Linked DNA regions of Styela clava. The protein of the gene in region 1 interacts with the protein of each later gene in a pairwise test. Links are inferred from orthologs where the notes say so. Each region holds a gene or a part of one and is shown in the gene's direction. Other genes may lie near its edges.

What was found. The genes of interacting proteins can lie anywhere in the genome.
Region 2: the proteins of importin-13-like (region 1) and paired box protein Pax-6-like interact in a two-hybrid assay, tested with the Homo sapiens proteins (2 studies listed by BioGRID and IntAct). The link is inferred for Styela clava from reciprocal best matches to the Homo sapiens genes IPO13 and PAX6.

Annotation. Positions count from the first base shown.
Region 1 is NC_135257.1:5,485,634-5,492,666, reverse strand, and holds the start of importin-13-like, read left to right. Parts: upstream 1-3,970; 5' UTR 3,971-4,036; coding exon 4,037-4,171; intron 4,172-5,194; coding exon 5,195-7,033. UniProt on the Homo sapiens protein: Functions in nuclear protein import as nuclear transport receptor. Serves as receptor for nuclear localization signals (NLS) in cargo substrates.
Region 2 is NC_135254.1:16,097,484-16,105,355, forward strand, and holds the start of paired box protein Pax-6-like, read left to right. Parts: upstream 1-4,840; 5' UTR 4,841-4,980; coding exon 4,981-5,101; intron 5,102-7,872. UniProt on the Homo sapiens protein: Transcription factor with important functions in the development of the eye, nose, central nervous system and pancreas. Required for the differentiation of pancreatic islet alpha cells.

The DNA of each region.
Region 1 (7,033 bases):
TTACTGTGGCATTCAAGAGTTTTTAGAAAAAATGGCAATTTTGGGCACTTGACAGCTGCGAATAATTTAGATTATATATGAGACAAGCATGGCACGATATGACAGATCTGCATTTATGGTAGACGCCCCTCGTTTGTGAGACGCATGGAGTGTTTGTTTTATTGAACCAATATCGGGACATTCTTGGAATTTGGAAACTCTGGCCAACTTGAATCGAATTTCAACTTCCAAGTTATTGCTCGATTTTGTATCTTGTGTATTTATTAATTGTGAGCTTCAACTGTTTTGGTAGACGGGCGCGTACTTGTAAGTTTCAACTATTTCTTGAGTTATGCTCGTCTTTCAGGTCCTCTGTATTTTATTTGTCCATTTAGTTTTGTTTTATACCAGAGGGACCAGAATAAATTTGATTGACTGATCATATTATAGGCTAGTACAGTAGTATTTATTAGATTATGACCACATATTATTTGGCAGCATTAGCTCTATTAAGTTTGCTGGTTTGAATATATGATTTCTTGACACATGTTCACTCAACGACGTAAGTGCTTCTATTTAACAGGGCACAGCCATATGTTATTCCTAATCCCCACCTGGCTCTGTCAGCCAAAGATTTTTTCATTACATCAAAGAGCTTGTTAAAGTATAGCCTGATAGCTACGATCACTCAAAATGGCATCTTCTCAAACGATAACAAACTCACCAAACGTCTGAACGATAGCGATCTCTTGTATATCAGGATCGGTACGATAAAAAATGAGAGAAGTAGTCTGCTCGATTTCGGGTGATAGTCTGCTCATCTTGGGTGACAGTTAATGAAGTTTGGAGGGCCTTATTAGTTATTACGTTACTGTGATGTCATAGTGGCGTATATTTTATAAAATAATACTTTGATACTTAATTTAGTAATCACTTGGCTTAGGTCCGGAGTTATCAAACTCTTGGTTTTACGAAGCCCATGAAGAGGTCAACCATTATTTACAGGCCCACAATAAATTTTTCCCACATATTTGACAAGCATATTGATAAACGAACGAATAGCTCACCAAGTCTCATATGCTGGTGCACTCAGATAATCTTGATCAGATCATGTAATTAGCATGTACTATCCTTTTTTTTATCAGATTTTTGATTTAGACTTCTGTTTTCAATGCACTGGCGAAATGACTTTTAAAATCACAGGCATGATTGGGATATTATGGATTGCACTTCAGTACCTGCAACCTGCATATACCTGCAACATGAAGGCAGGTGGTTATTATGGGTCAGAATCTGCAGTTATCAATCCACTTAAAGAAGCGTTTGTTCCTCGTAAGGAGGCTAAAGAAAAATGTCAAAAGTCAAAGATGGAATTAGCACAATTCTATGATGAAGGTACCAAACTGGCTATTGCAAATTTCGTCAATGGTGATAATAAATTGGGAGAAAGCGAGTTGTACTGGCTGGGGTTATTAGAACGACCTGATCAATTTCGATATGATGACGAAACTACCAGATTCTTTGGAGACTGGTCTGCACAGGCATTGGTGGTAATGAAGGAGGCTGCAGAGATTGCCTACAGAGCACCAATGTGTGCAGGTGTGATGAAAGATGATCCATTTAAAATCAGTTTAGAATATTGTAACAAAAAAGGTCATGCATTGTGTACTTTGAAAAATAAACAACGGCCTTTGACACTACAACCCGAAACCAACGAAAAATGTGCAGATTCTATTAGCATTACTTGGAATTCTGATAGCTTTTTATCTTCAAGTTTTAATTATAATTTCCGACTGATTAACCTTGATACTCATCTTGATGATCCTCCGCTAATTTATAGAGTCCGTGCAGGAGAAATGGGTATTCCCAAAACCACTAAATTAAAGGATGGACTTGAACCATATACAAATTACAGAATTGAGCTCAGCATGTGCACGACAGTTTGTTGTTGTGGTCCAGTGAAAAGTGTTATACCAGAGGTTTATTTTCTTGGTGGACCTACAAGTCCGACAGATGTTGAAATGCAGTACAATACCGATAGAAAAGAATGCCAAGTCATGTGGATGATTCCGGAAAAAATGCCGAAGGAAGATTATACAGGTTTTAAAATTGTGGTGAAATCAAATCATGCAAGTGACCTAGACGCTGATGATGATGCTTATATTGATAAAATGGTTGCTAACATTGAGATTGAAACGAAGTATTCCTTCAAAGTGGAGTCAAATCGGCGATACACTGTGACGGTGCAGACCGCAGGTTGTGGGAGGTTCAGCAAAGCTGTGGAAGCGGAGGGGGAATGTACAACAGAACCATCAGGCCCCGACTTTATCCCAAGCCCAGGTCTCATGATCATGTCCAATGGACAATACTCATTAAGGTTAACTATTCCAAAAGAAAAGAATGGGCCAATCAGTTGTTTGTTCCTGATAATGCGACCAACGGAAAAACGAATGCTATCTAGTACAAGTACAGGATATTCAGTAAAGCAATTGAAGCAAGCAAGTGAAAGTTCAAACGAATTAAATAAAGACTTCATTGCAGCAGCTCTGAAGCGATCAGATATACAGGGACAGTATATTGATATATATCTTAATCAAAGCACACTTAGTAGTTGTAATATAGGTAATGATGGTTCACCTAGTAATGATTATGAATCTAAAAAATTTGCTCTGAATCATGATTGGTATTATAGCATTGTTTTAGTGACTTCAACCCCTAGCTTCCATGAAGTTAGTTTAAAGAAAAGTGTGTCCACCTTACTTCCTGCTAAAGTTCAAAGTTTAAGAAGCAGTGCTAGATTTATCCAGTCACGATCGAATGAGGAGAAAATTAACAGTGCAGTAGAAACGAAGAAATGTAGTAGCATGGGTACCATACTTTCAGTCGTTTTTTCTATCCTCTTAGTTATAGCTCTTGTGGGTTTATTTTTAATTGTAAAAAGAAAAAAGGTATCTAGTAATGTAGAGGATGAGGAAACTGTAAAGGACGGAGAAGACGATGAAGCAAATCAGCAGAAAAGTGAGAAATCAAAGCCACAACAAGCAGAGGTAGAAAAAGAACCAAAGACTAGATCTAGAGATAATGAAAAAGAAAGGAGGCATCATAAGCACCGTAAGCATCGCAGACATCATCATGAAGAAGAGTTACCATGATGTTATATACTAACAATTTTCATAGCACAGAATTCAAATTTTTTTATCGGTGGCTAAACCAGAAAGTCATGAATATATTTGACATTGTACGATTTCCATTATTATAGTTCAATAGTTTAACTAGCAGGCCTTCATGTATTTCATGCATATCATAGATGGTATATTTTCATATTAGGTACCTATGTATTTAATGGATATGTTGCATTAGGTATTGCATCCCTAACTTGAGATTTATCTTGAGAAGAAGAATTTATGATAGTCCCATCTTGTTTTTTGTTACACTGTCGGAGCTTTATGTCATGTAAAACCTGGAATTATGTGAATTGCTTGTGTTATATGTGATTAGAGAGTTTCGTTGCATACAACACTATTTTATATCTGTAAGATTTTTCCTGACCAGGATCAAACTTCTTCAGACACGCATATTTCAACTGCAGCAAGCTTTTAAATCACATATCACAGTCATCTTTATTCCTGCTACAGCCTATTTGCATTATGCACATAAAAATGTACGAGAGCAAAAGCATGGAGGAAGAGTTATTCTTGCGTAACCCCAACTGATACCTACATACCGTCTGTGGCCAGTTTCCTCTCATAAATGTTTATTTCAGTTTGTTGTCTGAAAATTTGGTATATCATAATCGATGCCAGTATTCGGGCCATTATTAATAAATTTTTGTTTTTAATGGAAAAATAACCTTTTTATCCCATTTCCTCAATTTATCGGTAATTGTTTTCTGAGGGATGGATTTCGTCCATTAGTGCTTACATATTTTCTAAATTTCAAGATACTACAATTTCTTGTCTCATAATTTGCATCTTTTATTCTTCTATTACAGTGTTTATATTTACCAACTAAGATAATTCATCTAGACCAGAGCACTTGTTCAGTTGTTGTTACGGATATGACCACCGATAATGCGCCTGAATTTACTGTGGATAACATTGAAAAGGCATTACATCAACTGTACTATGATCCTGTTTCATCTACAAAAGACACAGCACAAAGATGGCTAACATTTGCCCAAAGATCAAAACAAGTACCATATATTAAGAGCTCTATTCACTGGTTATTTTAATCTGATAAAACAATTTGAGCAAATGTTATTATCAAGTAGTGGAACTCAACCTCAAGTAGCTTCCCAAATAATAAACGAGAATTAGATTCTCAGATGTATTACTATAACAGATTAAAAATAGGTATTTTATTATTTTTGTTGTTGGGACAAAATTTGCTAAATTCTTAGCTAATGAAGCTACTGTTTTCAATTTTCCAACCGTTTCAAGACAGACTTGACTGATTGAGCAATTTCATAACTTTTTACTAATTGATTCAGTGAGTGCAACCTGTAATTAGGCCGCAGTAGCCTGGCTATATCGACGCATGAAATCCAAATTGGGCTAAGTCCATTTTTCTAGTTTTGAGAAAAACGCAAAAAACGTTTTTTTTTTTGTTTCTTTTTTTTATTTCTCTAATACCTTACATCGAGGATGTCTAGTTTTTATGGTCCACCAAAGTGACAATGAAGGCCATATTTAGATGGTATAAAAAAATTTGTGCTCCGCCCCAATTTTTTTGGGGGATGGTTTTTTTGGACTTAACCCTTTTTGACTCTCAATTTCCTGGACCAGAAACAATTTTATTGGACTTAGGGCCTCTTTATTATGTTATTTTAGAGGCTGGTATGGACTTAGCGCTTTGTATTATATTTTTTGAGAGGAGCTATGTCCAAAAAACGGACTTAGCCCCAACTTACAATGCAGTTATCCAGAGCTAAGTCCACTATAGTAGACACAGCTCTGTTTAGTTCTCAAATGCCCTAAAAAAAGCAGGGTTATGTCCATAGCTGTCTTGAGATCTAGAGCACCTAGAGATAAGGCAAATAGACCAAAATGTAGAGCTAAGTCCAGGAAAATCAGCAATTGAAAAATGTCATTTTTTGGAAAAGTGGACTTAGCACTGTTTGGTTTTGAGGTGTCGATATATATTTGTGCATTGCCCCATTGTATGCGATCAACATCTGGTCTTATAATGAAGAATAATTTAACTTATTTATTTCTAGGCTTGGCAGTTTTCATGGGATCTATTGCAACCAAACCGTTTGACTGAAGTTCAATATTTTGGAGCGAGCGCTTTGGTTTCAAAGATATCAGGATCGTGGAATGAAGTTCCTGAAAATGAAATTGATAGTTTACGTGAACGACTTTTTTCTGAGATTCTTCGCTTATGTGTATCTCCACAAAATCGTATCATTTTAACCAGAATTTGCGTAGCATTTTCATCATTTGTTATGAATTGCGTACTCATGAAAAAATGGGACACAGTTATTTCTGATATTATTAAAAGACTACAAGAAGATGAAACTGCCAATGTATCTCCAATGCAAAGATGCTCAGCTTTACTGGAAATCCTCGCTGTCCTAGCTGAGGAACATCACAGCAGAACAATGGAGCAATATCAAAAAGGAATTGTTAAACACATGTTAATTCAAGGAATGCCTCACGTTCTACCATTACTTTCTAATTTAATGAATTCTGAAGATTTCAATGAAATGCATGGAAAAATTTTGAAATGTTTCTCAAGCTGGGTAATACTTGGAATACCGATCAATGAATATAAAGACATTCTTCATAAAACTATATCTTTTATTGATGACCCTGATTTATTTGATAATTGTGTTGAATGCCTTTTAAATACTTTTTGCTCACCAGGTATTCATAAGTATGTGAATACAATAAAGGAAATCATTCCTAAGGTTTTATCACTTCGTCCAATGCTTCATCAGGCAATTGAAGATCAAGATGCAGATGTTTGTATCGGAATTACAAAAATTGTTAGCGGACTTGCAGAAAATCAGACCAAGTTGATTTTAGAGAATTATAACAATCCAGAAATAGGTCTTGGCCTTGTTTTAATGGTTGCCGAATGTACCGGTATTCGTTTACAATATCCGACTGAAGAAATGGGAAGCCCAATTACCTTTACTTTCTGGTATTCTTTACAAGATGAAGTGAGAAGTTTACCGGAATCTGATATGTCTATTTTTCCTCAAATCCAGCCAATTTATTATCATTTGGTGGAGACATTGGTACAGAAGTCAAGCTATCCAGTCTCTGTTTCACATACTGACTGGTCGAGTGATGAAAAAGAGCAGCATAGAATTTACAGAATTGATATTTCTGATACATTAATGTATATTCTTGAAATGCTTGGTACAAATATGGTACGTTTTCTTTGTGGTAAACTTCTACAAAGTGTTAAATCAATGCATGAGAAGCAAGATTACCAATGGCAGGAAACTGAATCTATATTATTTGCTATACATTCTGTGGTTGAATCAATGGCAGACTGGGATGTTGATTTAGATTGTTTGAATGAACTTTCACAGGTTTTGCCAACAATAAAAGTAGAAAATCTAACATTGGCTGATACTCTTCTATACACTATTGGAGCTCTGACTGAATGGTTGGTGTATAACCCCCAGTATCTATCTTTATTGATTCCTATTGTTCTTCCATGCATACGAACGCATGATCTTGCAATGACCACTGTTCTGACTTTGAAAAGAATAACTCGAGAATGTAAAGAACATCTTGTACCACAAGCAGAAGTAATACTAGGTACAGCTCAAGATGCATTAACTAAAGGAATTTTGAAAAACAATGAAGTCAATTGGTTAATGCAATCAGTCGGTCATATGCTTTCTGTTTTATCAGAAGATGAATGCATAAGACGATTGCAGAGTGTTCTCATGCTTCATATGCACCAGTTGCGAGCATTGTCGGAAGATCCACCATCAGGACCAACTAAAAACAGCATTATTCATATTTTAGAGATATTGGCAAGTTTGTTTTCAACACTCGACCGCCGCAAGGGTGATACCACTGATGAGAAGGTCCAA
Region 2 (7,872 bases), on another chromosome or scaffold:
ACCGAGCCCTATCAAAAACGGCTTCGCACAAATCCGTTCGAACCCCTTGAATCACACTGCTGAATTCAGGATACTTACGAAATTTGACCTCGATACAGGGAGTCCACGGAACAATATTACATCTGGTGCAGTATTGCAGCTGCATTCACTGCAACTTAAATACCGAATTCTTGGTAAGGCCGAGACAAAAATCAATATATTTAGTTTCGTAAAATTTTGAGATTGTGAGATATAGAAACAAAATTTCACAATCGGTCGTAATTATATTCTGAATGAATTGTAAAAACTTTACAAATAGAAACAGCTATTATTATACTTACCAATCCTGATGACTGAAATAACAATAAAAACAAAAACTGACAGCAACATTTCAAGTTATTGACAAACTAGTTTATGACATGATGACCAAATCGGGTGTGGCGAATTGGTAAAATAACGTGGTTTAGTGTGTGCAATTTTATAGAATATTTTGAAATGTTTGTTTTTTTCATCACATGTGAGAGACATATTTGCTAAAGTTCAGCACGAAATGCTATTTTGCAAAGTGCTTTGTATGTATTTATAATATTATAATACTCAAACTCTACTAAATATTTCGTAATATTCGTAACATGCAAGATAAATTTTGTTTATATAAATGAAATATTTGGGCAGAAGCCAGTATGGACCGATTCTATTTACTCACCTCCTCTGAAGTTGGCCAGCGCTATAAGCAGCAGAGTGTTGGCGATTTGTGTGGCTATATATCGTCACGCTAATAACCGAATTGCGTAAATCATTTTTAGCAGTTTTGAGAAAAACGTAAAAAACTTCCTAATGATATTGTTATGCCATTGAGAGTCAATAATTTGCCATGGTTCAATTTTTTGATAAATTAATCTGTATGATGCAGTTAAGTGACTTCATAATGGCGCACTGTGACTTAGGCAGAAATGTGTGTATGACTTGGGGACATACGCAATTTTGCAACTTTACTATATGCACCAGTCCTGAAAACTAAACATTCCAAAAACTAATGTAATTTTCAGTATCTACAATGTCTAATCCCCAAAATAGCTAATCAGATTTAATTACATTATTTTTTATGTTTAAAAAATATAAATTTCATCAATATAACACGTTCTGCCCACCCACCGAAATAAGACTAAGATTAAATATAAAGAATAAAACAGCAATGCATCCAATATAAAAGCCAACCAAGGTGAATTGGACTCGGACAGTGAATATCACAAGTGCACGCCTTCCTATACTGTAGTATAAATTCAAATTAATACTCGCTAAGCTAGAATCCGAGATGCAAAAACTCGAAAATACTTCCCCGAGGTTATTTTGCCTTTGTGACGATAGTTCTGCGGTAACAATGCTGATTCATTATGACGAAACAATTGCATAAATGTCATGTCATACTAAATCTCCATTTTTATGGGTTTCGGGATTCTTAAAATGAAATCTGAGTTAACAGACAGGTGCGCAGCATTACCTAAATACCTATTTTATAAAAAAAAAACTCAAAATCGCCAAAAATGGCTTACGCAATTCGGGTATTAGCGTGACGATATTCCAAATATCTACGTGTGCGATACATTCAACACATTTAGGTTTCTCCCAGCATTTAATTTAGGTAACAAATAGGAATACACACACCGAAATCAACGACTATTGGACTATTTATTATACTTATACAAAGAAATCTCTATATCATAACATAAATTGAATGCGCTACTACCAAAATTACAATCTTCAAGTTAGTCTTAGTCAGATGTATAAAACAATGAAATATGTGGTTTTGTGTTTACAAAGTCTGTAATCGTAAAGACTTTAACGAGATTGGAAGAATTTAAGGCCAGTTCTATACTTGTCTACGGATACGAACTCCTTCCATCAGGTTGACCATTGCATATTTGTGGTTTGTATAACTGTTATACTATATAAGGAGACAGGCGTTATCAGGATAACACAGAATAAATGTATGACGTTCCAACATTAAAACTGAGGATTGTGTATTTTATTGCATGTGTTGAATCATATACGTGAAGACCCGATGCATTGCATATATATAATTGTTGAAATATTGTTATTGTTCAGTTGGTTGCAAACAAATTGAAGAGAATAAATAGGTTTACAACTGTTCCATTTTGTAATGCAATACTTCCAATTGCACTGCAATAAAAAATAAACACTACAGTGGTTGCAGGCTTCCCCGGTAATATGTGATTTTCACATCACAAAATCGGAATTTTTTTAAATCAACTTTTTGAAGTCCCTCAACTTTTCGCTTCCTCGCGTAATAATGTGTTTTATTCCCACGCTTTCTGAATGATAGTCTAACTATTTAGCAATTTATTACGTCACGGGAGACAATTGATTTCCAACGTCTTAATCACATCATTTTCAGTATTAATTGTTCCATTAAGAAAACAAATTAGGAACAAGAAAATGGCAACAAGAACACCGAAAGAGAAAACAATGTTCTTCGATCACAAAAAGCAAAATGGCTTCCCGTGGAGCGTAACAAAGCGAAAAGTATAGACGCGAGCGACAAGTAATTCCCACCGCATCGAAGCAATTTGAGAATGGGGAGAAGTTGGTTCGTATTTCCCCGGGATAGACAGGTATTGGGATGAAGTCTCTCTTCGCGGCCTCGTTCTCGCCTTCCGCGTCACACTGAGCCTTCGAGACCACCTTCGTTCCCACAATTAATATGTAAAATGTCACGAGTCTAGAGATCGTCTGATTTTCTCATGAAATTTCTATAGTCGTTCTCAATTAGCATAATATTTCGTTGTTTGTATATTGATTGTTAACCAGACTACGCGGAGAAAAAATTGCACACCTTTATGAATTTTTTTCTTTTTCTACATCGTCACTTACCCATATAATTGGATTAAAATTGTCGAATTCGTCAGTTTAGTGAGTAATTCTTATATATGCATCATTTGCAGAGTTAATCAAGTTTGATGCATAGGTGGTCGTTCCCCCATTTCTAGCATTTCAGTGTCAAAAGCAAGCGGCGTAAGGTATATGTATCAAAATATAGAGACGATATAATATTATGATTTCTGTATTAGTGGAGGTTTCGTTTGTAATTGAAAAATTCAAATAAAAATAAACATACGTATTAAAAAGGGTGGCTTATGCTGTACATGTGCTGTAATGATGTAGGCCTACATGTTTTTGGTCATAATAAAAAGCGAGAATATTTGACAAGTTGGAACACTCGAGAAGATATCCGCCATATTGTTACCAAAGAATCGTGGTGTTAAAAATCGTCATCAAAAGTTTGCACTCAGTAATGATTTTGATTTTCTATCAGAGCTCGTTCGGGTTAATAAAAACAAACAGAATATTGTTTAAAGTACTGTAGTATTTATCAATCCACATTTCAAACAATATTTGTAATATTAGCTCTATGGGATGATGTGAAAATAAAAATTATTTAACATATTTTGCATTTGACTTTGCTGTGAAATAGAATTCTAAAGGCAATTTTAATATTACTAAAGAAGTCATACAACTGGCTTTGATTTTCGTGTATGTTGAATTATCAGTTATTGTTTATGATGAAAGAAAAAATCGTTTGATGGTCTCTTTCATTTTTTTCTTTTAAATCCAAATATAATCCCCTTTTATTGTTATGTATTGAGAGAGAAGATTATTCTCTTTTGGTCTTGGTTTACTACACTGCGCTACATTCAAAGAGGATTGTAATATAATTGAAAGAAGGCTTTTACTCTACGTCAAAGGTATTGAGCTAAAGTCATTCTTAAATTTAGTAATTTAGCAACTAACCCGCTACTAGAGACAGAATGAGTGTAGTGCTATTCTTTATTAGGATTCTATCTGTGGTTAATTCTTAGTATGTACAACTGAGTTAAATATAGTCACAAAATTAGGAAAAATTTGGTACTGTTTGTAACTTCAAAAATAGGATTTGCATCTAACGAGAAGGACAAAATTTTGACACATCGAATCAATCAGGTTTGTTGTTTGAGAATTTTTGTTTGGATGATACGCTTAAATCATGGCTCGTACTATTGTTTCCTTCGAGAGCAGGTAGCTTTATTTCAGAAACATTGTATTTTGGTTCATATATTTGTTTTGTTTTCTTTGTATTTTACGTGTTGACTTCATCGAACAATCGTTTTATTTGCACAATATTCTGTTTAATAATTTGTGCATGGTAGTTTACTGCAATTTAGAATTTTGCTCGTTAGAGCAAATCACTGTCACAATGCATTGTACAGAAAACACCGTGAATTCTACATCGGGTAAGGTTAAGGCTGCGACATAATTCAATAAAATGAGAAATAACTGTTTATAGATAGAATAAATAGGAAAAATAGACACAATCTTTCGATTACTTAATTCCGATTTGATTAAACGATTTTGATTGCTATATACTTTTATGGTTCTATTGGCCATCGAGGCATATCATGAAATTACATTTGTATTTCGCATTTAACCTCAAAACAAAATGAAGTCCAAAAAAACAAAGTTTGATTTCAAAACTACTTCGAGGTGAGCAAAACGGATGATAGAATCCGCCATTTTGTCTCAAAATCATAGAATGAAAAAGGTAGCGAGGGAGTGACGCAGAAACGCAAAACGCTGATGCGAAATTTTAAACAATTGCATTTATAGCACAGAATATGGGAAAGAAAGGAGTATTTTGTAAGAGTACAATAAGTGTATACGTCTTAAAAGTTTAGATTTTTACGATATATAATCCATGAGTGGATAATAGGTGCATGATAAGTTTTAAAACCGACAGATGCAACCATGTTTTGCCCTGCTTGTGCCAGTTTTTATGTTTTTACTTTTACTAAGAAATCTTTTTAGGTCAATTAATTCTTTTGTATTATCCTAGTTTCAAAACAAAAAGTCGAGTAAACCTAAATTTCATTTGCTTCTGACCATCGGCAATCGACTGAATATCAAATTCGGAAAAACAACGTTCTTTGGTCAGCCTTTTGTATAGAGATGGCCACCCACCAACTTTGTCACCAAGGACCGATGATGTCAGCTCATATGCCGTCTTATCAAGCACCATATTCATCAGCAGTAGCATTGTGTCTCGGAGGTGATGGTTTATCACATACAGGTAAACAAATACGCGATCATAGACTGGCTATTTGATAAGGCATGTATTTTATATGTGTTATGGTGTTTAGGGATACATCATTGCTATCGTCTAATCTTTATTTGTAAAAAAAATCAATTACGTTATCATAAAGACATACGTCTTGCGTTAGTGGTTGACAATATGGGGTGTTAGATATAGAAAATATATATGAGTATGTTGAAACAATAACCAATCTTTGGTACACTGATAACTGGCGCTAAAACGTTTGATTTTGATTTCCATTTAACCGCAATATTGTTGTATATACAATGTGATAAAATGCTATTTATGGAAACCGAAAATGGGCAAATTAATGAAAACAAGCGGTAATTCTAGTAAGCTATCACCAATGAAGTAACTTGCGATTGTGGCAAATATATCAGGTAAAAATAGCTAACTTCCGTTTTCATACATATTCATATATATTGTCATGCAACATTTTTTGGTTGATAAATACCAATCAAATTGTAAACGATGTTTTCGAAACTTTGATTAAAACTGGAAGAATAAATTCAAATTCACGCTAGTTCAAAATACCAATATCGAGTACAACCCATGAAAAATCGCGTTTTATTATTATTGTTTTTGAGTGTTTACAACGTTTGATCTATCACCAATTTTTTTTCAACAAAACCAGAAAACGCAGCAATATTCACATAACATTGAATGAATTAAAACTCTAAAATAACCCACAGCTGCTCAATATATCCAAACGTTATGTAAAAATATGTCATCTTATAGAAACCACTCAACGAAATATGTTTTGTCGTTTGAAATCGCGAAAAACAAACAAATATAACAAACCGGATCATGATAGATGTCCCAGAAATCGCTTATCAATGAGAACAATATTTGATTTTATTACATACTTCTCACAGACAATTTCAAAATAAACATGTTTTATGTAAAATTGATTGTCGCTGACCATTTTGTGATAAATTACATTTTAGGGGCGATTTTTAAGACAATATAGGTATATTTCGTCGATAACACCCATATTTTGCTCAGATCAGAATTGTTTTCTGATTTTGAATGATTGTCATGAATTTGGAAATATTGTTTCATCAACATAGAAATTTAGTACACTCATAATACAAAAAAAATTAAAAGCTATTCGATTTTAATCCTCGTGGATAATTTTTCTAAGAAATTCTCCATATTTTATAGTCATTTTCAATCTAGGTTTCTCTAGAAAATTATCAGAAATAGTTATGGGCTACGTTAAAAAAACTGCAGTACAATTTCTCATGGAAGGATAAATTACGAGGTATCCCGCAGTGCGCCGCAAATAAAACTATTGTTTACGGTCAGGGTTTTTGGCAGCTAAGAAAAACTTAACGTATAATGATACTCAGTATGTATGATTACTTTATTGTTTTATGGACTAAGATATAGTTTTTGGCCTTAATTGCACTACTCAAAATACCTTGTTTACGACATCCCACAACAATAAATCTAAGAATTCAAATCCTTAAGATTTTGTCTAGTTATCCCAAGTTAAGTTTGGAATTATAGATAAAACGTATTAATAAATTTCGAGTTAGGTGGACATAGGTGAAATTAATAATCCAAATCAAGTTACATTTGAAATAATCTCAATTGTGTCTTTTTTGCAATTTGCTTTATTCACAAATATTTTGTTAAATATCCCGGTAATGCCATTTTGGAAATATGAATGTGTAAATCCCAATCTGTTTATATGAAGGACGGTATGATACTTCCCAATCGATTCTAAATAAAAAATTCTAATAATGAAAGGTTACTCGCAATGCTTCTTAGAGAAAATACTTGTTATTGACCAGTAGCCTAAGTCTATTTAGGCAAATCAATTTTCAATTTTACCTCGCTTAACGACGAGACGACAAATTGTTAATTATCAGGCACGAGTTGAAGATATAAGTCGATATTTTTGTATATGTGATTTTACAAATGGCCTAATAAATTACGAACTAGATTAAAGCAAAGGTGGTCTTGCATTCACAGGTGTCGATTAAACAAAGAATTATCTTTTGAAAAAAAAATTGTTTTTATTTATTAGGTGGAAAACTTTGTCAAAAATTATTATTGCTATTTGAATAGTTGAGTTATTTTAAATTTTGAGTCTACTTCTGAGATTTTAATTAAATAACTTTTGGGTATATGCCGAGTCTAGCTATGCAATTTTTCGTCCGGGCCATGATTACCCCCACAAGTGTGCCCCCTCTCAACTAAATCTGGAGTCATACGTGAAAACCAGTCAACATTTATTATAATTTTAGGGAAAAAAAAAGATTTATTATTTTTACACAATAGGAGCGTTTCGGTTATTATCATTCTCTATTTCGGTTATAACAAAGATTGTAGCGCACGCTTTTCAGACGTGTGGGGAATCTTAGTAGTCTTTGTCTTATAGCTGAAAGAAAAACTATCAAATCATTTCAAAGATCTTGGAATATAATATTCTATATTACTAATCAGCTATTAACCTGTGGGTTGCAGATTAACCCCTTAGACACCTTGAGATTATCCTAATTTACCAGCACCCTGCTTTGTAATCTTTATTTCAAATGGAATTGTTCGACAGTCATCTAAAAAAATTAAATCCTATTATACTATATATATCACCAAACCGAGAAGTTATGTTCGATCATAGTTGGGCGCGAAGTAACGATGTTAAAAATGTCTTTTCGGGTCGTTCATAAATATAATAAGCTTACTAGTTTACGGAATGATTAAATGTTTTATCCTAATAATTGTGGGAACTCGCGTGT